Linked DNA regions of Caenorhabditis elegans. The protein of the gene in region 2 purifies or fractionates together with the protein of the main gene of each other region. This does not show direct contact. Each region holds a gene or a part of one and is shown on either strand. Other genes may lie near its edges.

Region 1 (4,607 bases), 1.9 Mb from region 2:
TTAATGGAGTGGCCGTGCTTAAGCCATTGGAATAATGCGGTAAGATTTCTTTTTTACATAAGTTTGAATTTTGCGTGCTGTGGAGCGCATTTGCATTACAAATATATGATTTTTAGGCACAACTTCCAACATGCGAGTATTTCGAGGCTGACAATGAATGCAAGACAATGCCAATAGAAAATATATGCGGCCCCCGTGCCGTCAAAGAAATGCTGGATAATGAGAATTTTATTCGTGAATATTTTGGATGCAACAGGATCTACAAGCCTTCAAATAATTCTAGTAATAGCTTGAAAATCAAAATTTCAGGTAATCCTAATTCGAAATGAAGATGTTTGAAGAATGAAGGCAATTTTGAAACTTTTATATAATGCAATTTTGTGCTATCAACTAACTAAATGTTGACCAGATGACAACTTTTTCCTACTTCTCAACATTTTAGAGATAATCTCTGCAAGCATCTCAACAAGTCGGCCGCAGAAAAAAATGACCAATTTTTCATATATCGTTAAAAACAAGCTATCAGCTCACAAACTATCTCAAAATGGATGTATCGCAAATTTTGAATGCACTTTTTATTTAAAACATAAAGATGCACTATTAGCTAGCCCCTACAGTGGGGCTGAGCTCCTTTTGGGGCTGTGGCTGGTCTCCAGCCCCACTTTTTGACGCCGTCTGCGCACTTTCCGATAAATAGAAAAGAAATTAATCGGCGCAGAATGTGCGCAGACGCCTACCTAGTGGCACACAGGGTTTCGTTCGTTTTTCGCATATTGAATTTGTGGAATAAATATATAAATATAATAAATAAATAAATAATAAATAAATAATAAATAACTATAATAAATAACAGAGACAGTTTTATGATAGTTTGTTAGAATTTTAAAAATAAAATAAATCGTTATGGCCAATGTTTTCTTAATGTCCTGGTCATTTATAATTTCAACCAAGATCCCGGAAATCCAAACAAAGGAAATCGATACATCGAAAAATACAGAGAGTCCGCCCATATCCTGAGTTGGGCTTCGTTTCCCGGTTAAAGTTAAAATAAGGTTAAAAAAAACAATGAACACAATATAGGTGCTTTTCATTTGATAAAAAGGGGATCAACCCCCGCGAATCGGAATGTCGTTTGGATACATTATGGCTGATTTTCACAAGTCATCACTTTGACCTTATCCTCATTCTTCAACATATCCTCCCATGCTTCATCTCCGCATTGCTCTTGAACAACCCGTTGAAGCTCTGAAAACTCGTCAGGTGTCAACCAGCACTTTGGTTTATCCTCTCCAATCGTCGTGTTTTTCAGAGTAGTTACGTCGAATTTTGTCTGAAATAAAATGTTCTAGAGGATCTTTTTCGGAGAAGCTTGTAGGTACCTTTTCCATGCATTTACTGAATGGTCCGACTTTTAAGCCCAAGTCTTCACAGGCGGATCTCATGAACATTGTTCCGAATCTCAAAATACTTTTTAGTAGCTCTGGGATTTCCATTGATTCTACGCAGTTCTGAAAACTTTTAATTTTTTAAATATCAAAAAAAAACTAAAAGTGATGTACCAAATTTTGGGCGTGGCCTCTGATGCTCATAATTTTTTTGGGAGCCGTTAAACGGGCGTGGCCTTTCGTTCCGCCCACTTCTTGGTTGTGATCACAGAAGCTCTATCCAGTAGGCTTCCACGCAGGCGCAGAGAAGCCTACCTCGCCCGCCTTGTGGCGACCAAACCATTTTTCCGGAAATTGGTAAATTGGCAGATTGCCGAAAATTTTGGGCAAATTGTGCTTTTGCACAATTTTTTAAAGGAAATTTCAGAATTTCAATTTCAATCGGCAGATTTGTACGTACCTTATAAATTTTCCTACATATATTTTGAAAAGTGAGCAGATTCTATGAAAATATTTAAAGAAAACGGGAAAATTTTCAAAAAAGCACAGTTTTAAGTGTTTCCGTCTTATGAAAAAATCCCTTTAAAAACTTCCGGCAAATCGGCAAACCGGCAATTTGCCAATGTGCTAAATATTCCTTCTCGCCATTGTGTAGAAAAATGTTGAGAGGCCAGAGGCTGAGGCGGGCAGGATGAAGGCAGGCCCTGAAACCGCGCCTGCCTCCCATGGAATTTTTTTTGGCATTATTTGAAACGAATTTAATGTTCACAAACTACATTTGAGAAAAATTGGAAATCGGTGGCCGCAGAATTTCTAGGCCACCTACTACTTTTGCAGAAATTTTTTGTTGAAAATTCAATATTTTTCGAAACTCTATTTTTCAAATTTTTGCTGAAAAAAATAAAACTAACCGTTGTGTCAATGCACATATGATAAAATGTTTCCAAATTACCAATTTTCACATTTTTGCCGTGTTTCGTAGTTTCCAGCTTCAAATTATTCAAAATATTCTTCATTTTGTTGAGCTTCGTGAGACAATTTTCATAGTTTGTTTGTTGCCCGGAGACAATGGAAAAAACGAAGAAAGTCGAGAGAAGGAACAAGAGAATTTTGGCCATTTCGGTGTATAAATATTGAATAATAACAATTGAATAGCAGAAGAAGAAGAAATGACCTATCGAAAGATATATCCCTCGTCTCCGTGAAGATATATCTTCCCGGGAGATAGTCTCTGAAGTCGGGAAAACAAATATTTTGAGGTCAACGGATTCATATTTATTAGGTATAGAAATATCGATTTTTCCAATGGAGAGATGGGGAAAATCGACTTAAATTTTTTTTGTAGTTTTTTATCTGCCATCTATATTTTTTAAAGGGATATGCCAAATTTGTTCAAATTTTTTTCAGAAAAATTCAAAATTTCTGAGCAAAAGTTAGTGGGGAATTAAAATTTGAAACAACGGAATTTGGTGGAAAATTTAAATCTTCTGTGGCAAATATTGGCGGGAATTTCAAATTGTTTGAGTTAATGGGAGGGAATTCAAATTTTCTGAAACAAAAATTTTGGCGAGTAAATTCAATTTTTTTGAACAAAAATTGACGAAAAATTTTAATTTTCTCAGAAATTTTTTTGCGGGAGCTTGAAATCTTTAAAGAAAAACATTTGCGGGTAATTCAAATTTTTGATTTAAAAAAACTTGACGAGAAATTCAAATTTTCTGGGAAACTTTTTTTTTGGCGGAAAAATTGAATTTTCTGAGGAGAAATTAGTGTTGAATTAGAAAAAAAATTTTTAAACAAATTTCTGAAACAGAAATTGGCGGAAAACTTGGTCACACCACATTTTCTTAGGCCATCTGTGACGTCACTCCTCTTCCAGCCGAGATCAACAAGAGACCACTGTAAAAATTATCTAAAATTTTACTTAAAATTTATTTTTCAAAAATATTAAAAAGAAAAAAATTAAAATTAAAAAAATGTCAATGACCGTGCTGACCTTTCTTATCAAATAATCAAATCTCAACTCACGGGACCACAAATCTTGTTCGGCGAAAAATCAATTATTTCGAAATTTCGACTCTTCACAATGAGCTTGGATATGGAGCACCTCCATGGTGCCATGAATTACCGTGAGTTTAGGAAAAGTTGCCGATGGTTGCTGAGCGATCGCCGAGGATGTTGTCGGAGCATTGCCGCTTCTGTTGCCGGCGTGTCTACAAAAATCAATAAGTGTCATAATGGTTGCTGACAATCTTCAATAACTCCGATTTTATTGATTGCCGGTAGTCGCCGGCGGTTGCCGATAGTGGCCGGCAGCAGCCATTACTTGTAACAAATGGATTTTTTTTTCGATTAACGATAGTCACCGCTGACCGCCGGCAATGAAACTCTAATTTTATTGATTACTGATAGTCGCCGGCAATTAACAATAGTTGCCGCTAAGCGCCGATAAATCCAATTTTGCCGGTTCGTAATAGTTAAAGGCAATGGCGACAGTTGCCGGTAATTATCGATTGCCAAAAGTGCCGGAAATATCAATTTATCTCAATTTCCTTGTTTTTCAGTGTGTTTCGCTGCTGCTGCGTCAATTTCTGGAGCGATCATTGCCGTCGGCTGTACCACCGGACATCGTGAGAATTCGCGTGGTGGCAAAGGAAAATCGGCGAGATCAAAGCGATCGAAACGATCAAAACGAGACAAGAAGCAAAACTCGAAGAGACAACAAAACTCGAAACGACAAAAGAAGATTAAGGTGAGTGGAAGAGTTATTTCTCGGCCACTGTAACAACCATCTTTTCAGAGCAATTCTGCCGCTCCGGCACCACCGGCCAAGAGTGGAGTGCCTGCAAAATCGGCGGAGAAGGCAAAGGAAGGATCGCAGAGATCGGCTCGACTCAAGAAGGAGCAGAAGTCCGAGAAGAAGAAGGTTTGTGTAGATTTACGGAGTACAGTGTATATTTACGAAGCTCTTTTGTTTCAGAAGGAGTGATCGCAGAGATCTGCAAGATCGAAGAAGGAGGGATCACAAAGATCGAAGAAAGCGTCTAGCGAGAAGCCAGAAGTCGAGAAGAAGCCGGAAGAGCCGCCAGTCGAGGATGAAGCGAAGACTCCACCAGAGAAGCCGAAGGTTGAGGAACCGGCTCCGGCTCCAGCTCCGGCTCCGGCTCCAGCTGCTGTTGCTCCAGCTCCACCACCGCCAGAGCCAGCCGTCGTTCAACCGGA
Region 2 (3,490 bases):
CTCTCTGCAACATATAAAACTTTTTCCAACTTCGCTGTTAACAGAATAACATAGTTTTTTTGCCAGAATTATTCAATCCTAATTTTTTTTTTCCAGGAATTCCATTCTGTTGTCAGTGAGAGAGAACCGCGTTCAAATCAGAATGGGCTCACGCCTCTCATGTTCTTGCTCACAAGCCGAATGCTGGACGAATGATGAATCTACATTGAGGTTTGTTTTTTCTTTGAGAAATATCTATCACTACTTGTCATTCACACAGTTGGTTCGTGTTTATTATTCTAACACTCTGAAAAAAGATAGATATTATAGTTATGGTTAGAATAAACAAAAAGAGTGTGCGAAGGGGAATTGGTATTTGACAAATTGTAGATTGGATGAGGGGGACAAAAAATAGACAAGATTCTGACCGAGATGTCATTAATTTTCGTCAACTAGACACTTTGTTTCGGAAAAAAAGACAGTGGAGAAGAATAAAACCAACTTTTACATTGAAACATTCAAAATTTTAGTTTCTGCTATAAATAATAGAAAAAAGGTTTTTCAGTTAAATTATTCAAATTTAAACTTTATCAACGCAAATCTTTATTACAAAAAACTTAAATAATCTATAAAAACTGAAAAGCGACATTAATTATTCAATAAGAATTTTTATGAGGATTCATTCCATGAACCAAATGATGTACCATTTCTTCTGCATCCATTTCATCTTTAACCGTATTGATTTTCTCGTTTTGCTGATTTCGAATAATAAAATCAGAGGCGTACGCGTCGAAATATGATTTTTGTCGAATAAGTGAAAGAGTTGACTCCATTTTCGAACGATGTCTCACTGATTCGAGAATTCGAATTTTCTCATTGAGCAGCATGATCTTTGTCATTTCTCTGGAAAAATTTTGGAATTGCTGAAAAACTGTAGAAATTCAAATAAAAAACTAACGTGATAAGAGTGTAAACTGAAAATGACCACAATAAAAGGATGAAGCATTTTATATGCATCAGAGCTTCTTCGTCTTCAACTTGTTGCATTTCTTCCAATGTGTGGATTGCTGGAAATTATTGATTTTAGAGGTGTAGTAGAAAATGGGTTCTCAAAAATTTCAAGAATTTTTGAAAAAATTATTGTTCGCCAGAGATATGACTCTAAAAACTATATCTTAATTAAATGTTTTTATTTTACTCACTTTGAGAATATGTAGGCGGTAGGTAGGCAGGAAAGTATTGCCTCGTATCATTTTTTTGATTATAAAAACCTACGAGTTGTCTTAGCAATTGTGATTGCTTCAAGCCACAGCAAAACGCAACATGCACTGACACAAATCATAAGGAACACCACTTTTATTATTACCTGAAAATTTAAGATTCATTCGTATATATATGCTTATTTACTTTGTTCAAAACTTACTTTAAAAATAGAACAGACTGTAGAGCGAACAATCGAATTATTCCATTGAAATCCTAGTCCATCAATCTGAAAAAAAAATTGATTAATATATTTTGATAAAAAGAAAGATTACCAGGTCAACTTTTTTAATATTCAAAGGAACATCACCTGGCTGGGCCATTTTTGAAAGTTTAGACGAAAAAGTGAACAAATAGTTTTCAGAATTTTAGTTTACGCGATGGCGAATTGTTGGTATTTTAAGGTTCACGTATTGAAAATGTGCAATACTTTAAAATTTTGTTAAATATTGTACCTTACGATAGAAATGTTAAAGCTGAAAACTACATTCAAAGAGTATCAAATTTAAAAAAATTTTTAAAGTTGTTTGTGTTTTGCTCATCTTGCTAATTTTGCTCAAAATTTTCTTTGAAGGACTTTCAGTGAACATTTATTTACTGGAACACTTCGGTATGCTGTATAACCATATAAGTTTCCAATTAAATCTAAACCCGGGGCGGGCAAACAATTTTTCCGGTAAATAGGCATATTGCCGGAATTGAAATTTCCGGCAAATCGGCTAACCGATCCTATGAACCTATGAATGTTTGTACATCTATTTTGAAAAGTAAGCAAATTCTATCAAAATATCTAGAAAAAACGAGATAATATTTCGAAAAAAAGGCACATTTTTAATTGTTTCCGTCTTATAAAAAATCCCCCAACTTCCGGCAAAATGTTGTTTGGCAAACGGCAAATTGGCAATTTCCCGAAAATCAAAATTTCTGGAAAATCGGCGAACGGTAATTTGCCGATTTGCCGAACTTGTAGACAAAAAAATTTCCTGAACGACAATTGCCGCCCACCCCTGATCCAAACTACTCAAATGAAGGAGGTCCCATCTCAGTTTGGTGAATTATAGTTGATATGAGACACAGGCATATAATTGCCAAACGATGCAAATCTGCCAATGAATGTTTCCGGCCAATTGATTTCTTAAATCAAAAGGAACAAAAGTGTGAAGAGAACTAATTAAAAAAGTGTTCATTTCTTAATTATGGATTTTATTACTCTATTCGATTCCATCAAGGACACGAACACTTTTCTTCAAATAAGACACTTTTGTCATTCAAGTGATCTCATCCTTTTGTTTGAATATGCCTTGTGATTGTGTAAGAGACCTTATTGAAAACAAATAAGTATCACTTGACATTTATTACAACTTAGAAGATTGACTCTCACATCCAATTATTTTCAGAATTGACGCGGAGTTGTTTGAGTTATCACAGGACGGACAAAAGTGGGATAAGCTTGACGGAAGGCTGGCCAACGTGAGTATTTATTGTCATTTTATGGCTTCTTTTTCGCGCACAATGTACCCTGTAGCATCTTAAATTTCGAAAATTTTTGGAAAGGCTCCCGGTTCTTTTTTTTTTAATGCAGACAAGGGGTGTGCGCCAAATTCGGCAAATCGACTTTTTTTTACTATTCGGCAAATTTTCCATACATCCCTGGTGCAGACATTAACATTTTTTAAACGAAATATTGACTTTGGAGGTAGGCCAAAAAATATGCGTTTTTAATCAATTTTTCAAATCAAAATATTACGAAAATGTAATAACAAAACTTGCTGCTGTCTCGAAAGTAGTTTTGTAAACCTTTACTGAATTTTTGGAATGAGTGGCAAAGTGTTTTGCGAGGCTCGTGTTCAAAATTGTATTCCAGTTTTTTTAAAAGCTAGTCCAAACACTTGACTAAGTTGTAAAATGTGGAAGTGGCTGGTTGGTTTTGTAGTTTTTGAGATTTGGAAAAAATTCAAACGAAGAGATATGTCAAAATCGAGAAATTGCTTTTTCAAAAGTTGGATTTATCGTTCTTCCTTGATTTTTTTTTCTCTGTGATAATTCTGAATTTAATATTACTTTTAAATATCATCCCCATTCACGCTGCTCCACCTTTAATTAGTTATCTGAAAAACTAGGAGCAGTTAAGAAAATGTTTTAATGGAAAAATTCCCATGACTACGTATAAATATTTGTGTCATACTTTCATATTCTACCTAGCAAATGCCAAAACCCAATGGTAATAAATCATAATCCAATAACTTTTTCC

The links.
Region 1: the proteins of T21E12.5 (region 2) and Y23H5B.8 fractionate together in Caenorhabditis elegans (co-fractionation; one large-scale study listed by BioGRID). This does not show direct contact.

The regions. Positions count from the first base shown.
Region 1 is NC_003279.8:2,545,825-2,550,431, forward strand, and holds Y23H5B.8 (T20D4.11-like domain-containing protein), read right to left. Parts: upstream 2,576-4,607; 5' UTR 2,504-2,575; coding exon 2,297-2,503; intron 1,509-2,296; coding exon 1,380-1,508; intron 1,331-1,379; coding exon 1,142-1,330; 3' UTR 562-1,141; downstream 1-561. Other genes in the region: Y23H5B.3 (T20D4.11-like domain-containing protein), read left to right, coding at 1-39, 117-329.
Region 2 is NC_003279.8:4,411,660-4,415,149, forward strand, and holds T21E12.5 (Guided entry of tail-anchored proteins factor 1), read right to left. Parts: upstream 1,584-3,490; 5' UTR 1,563-1,583; coding exon 1,515-1,562; intron 1,469-1,514; coding exon 1,403-1,468; intron 1,346-1,402; coding exon 1,255-1,345; intron 1,047-1,254; coding exon 938-1,046; intron 883-937; coding exon 636-882; 3' UTR 566-635; downstream 1-565. Other genes in the region: tiam-1 (DH domain-containing protein), read left to right, coding at 143-210, 2,637-2,709.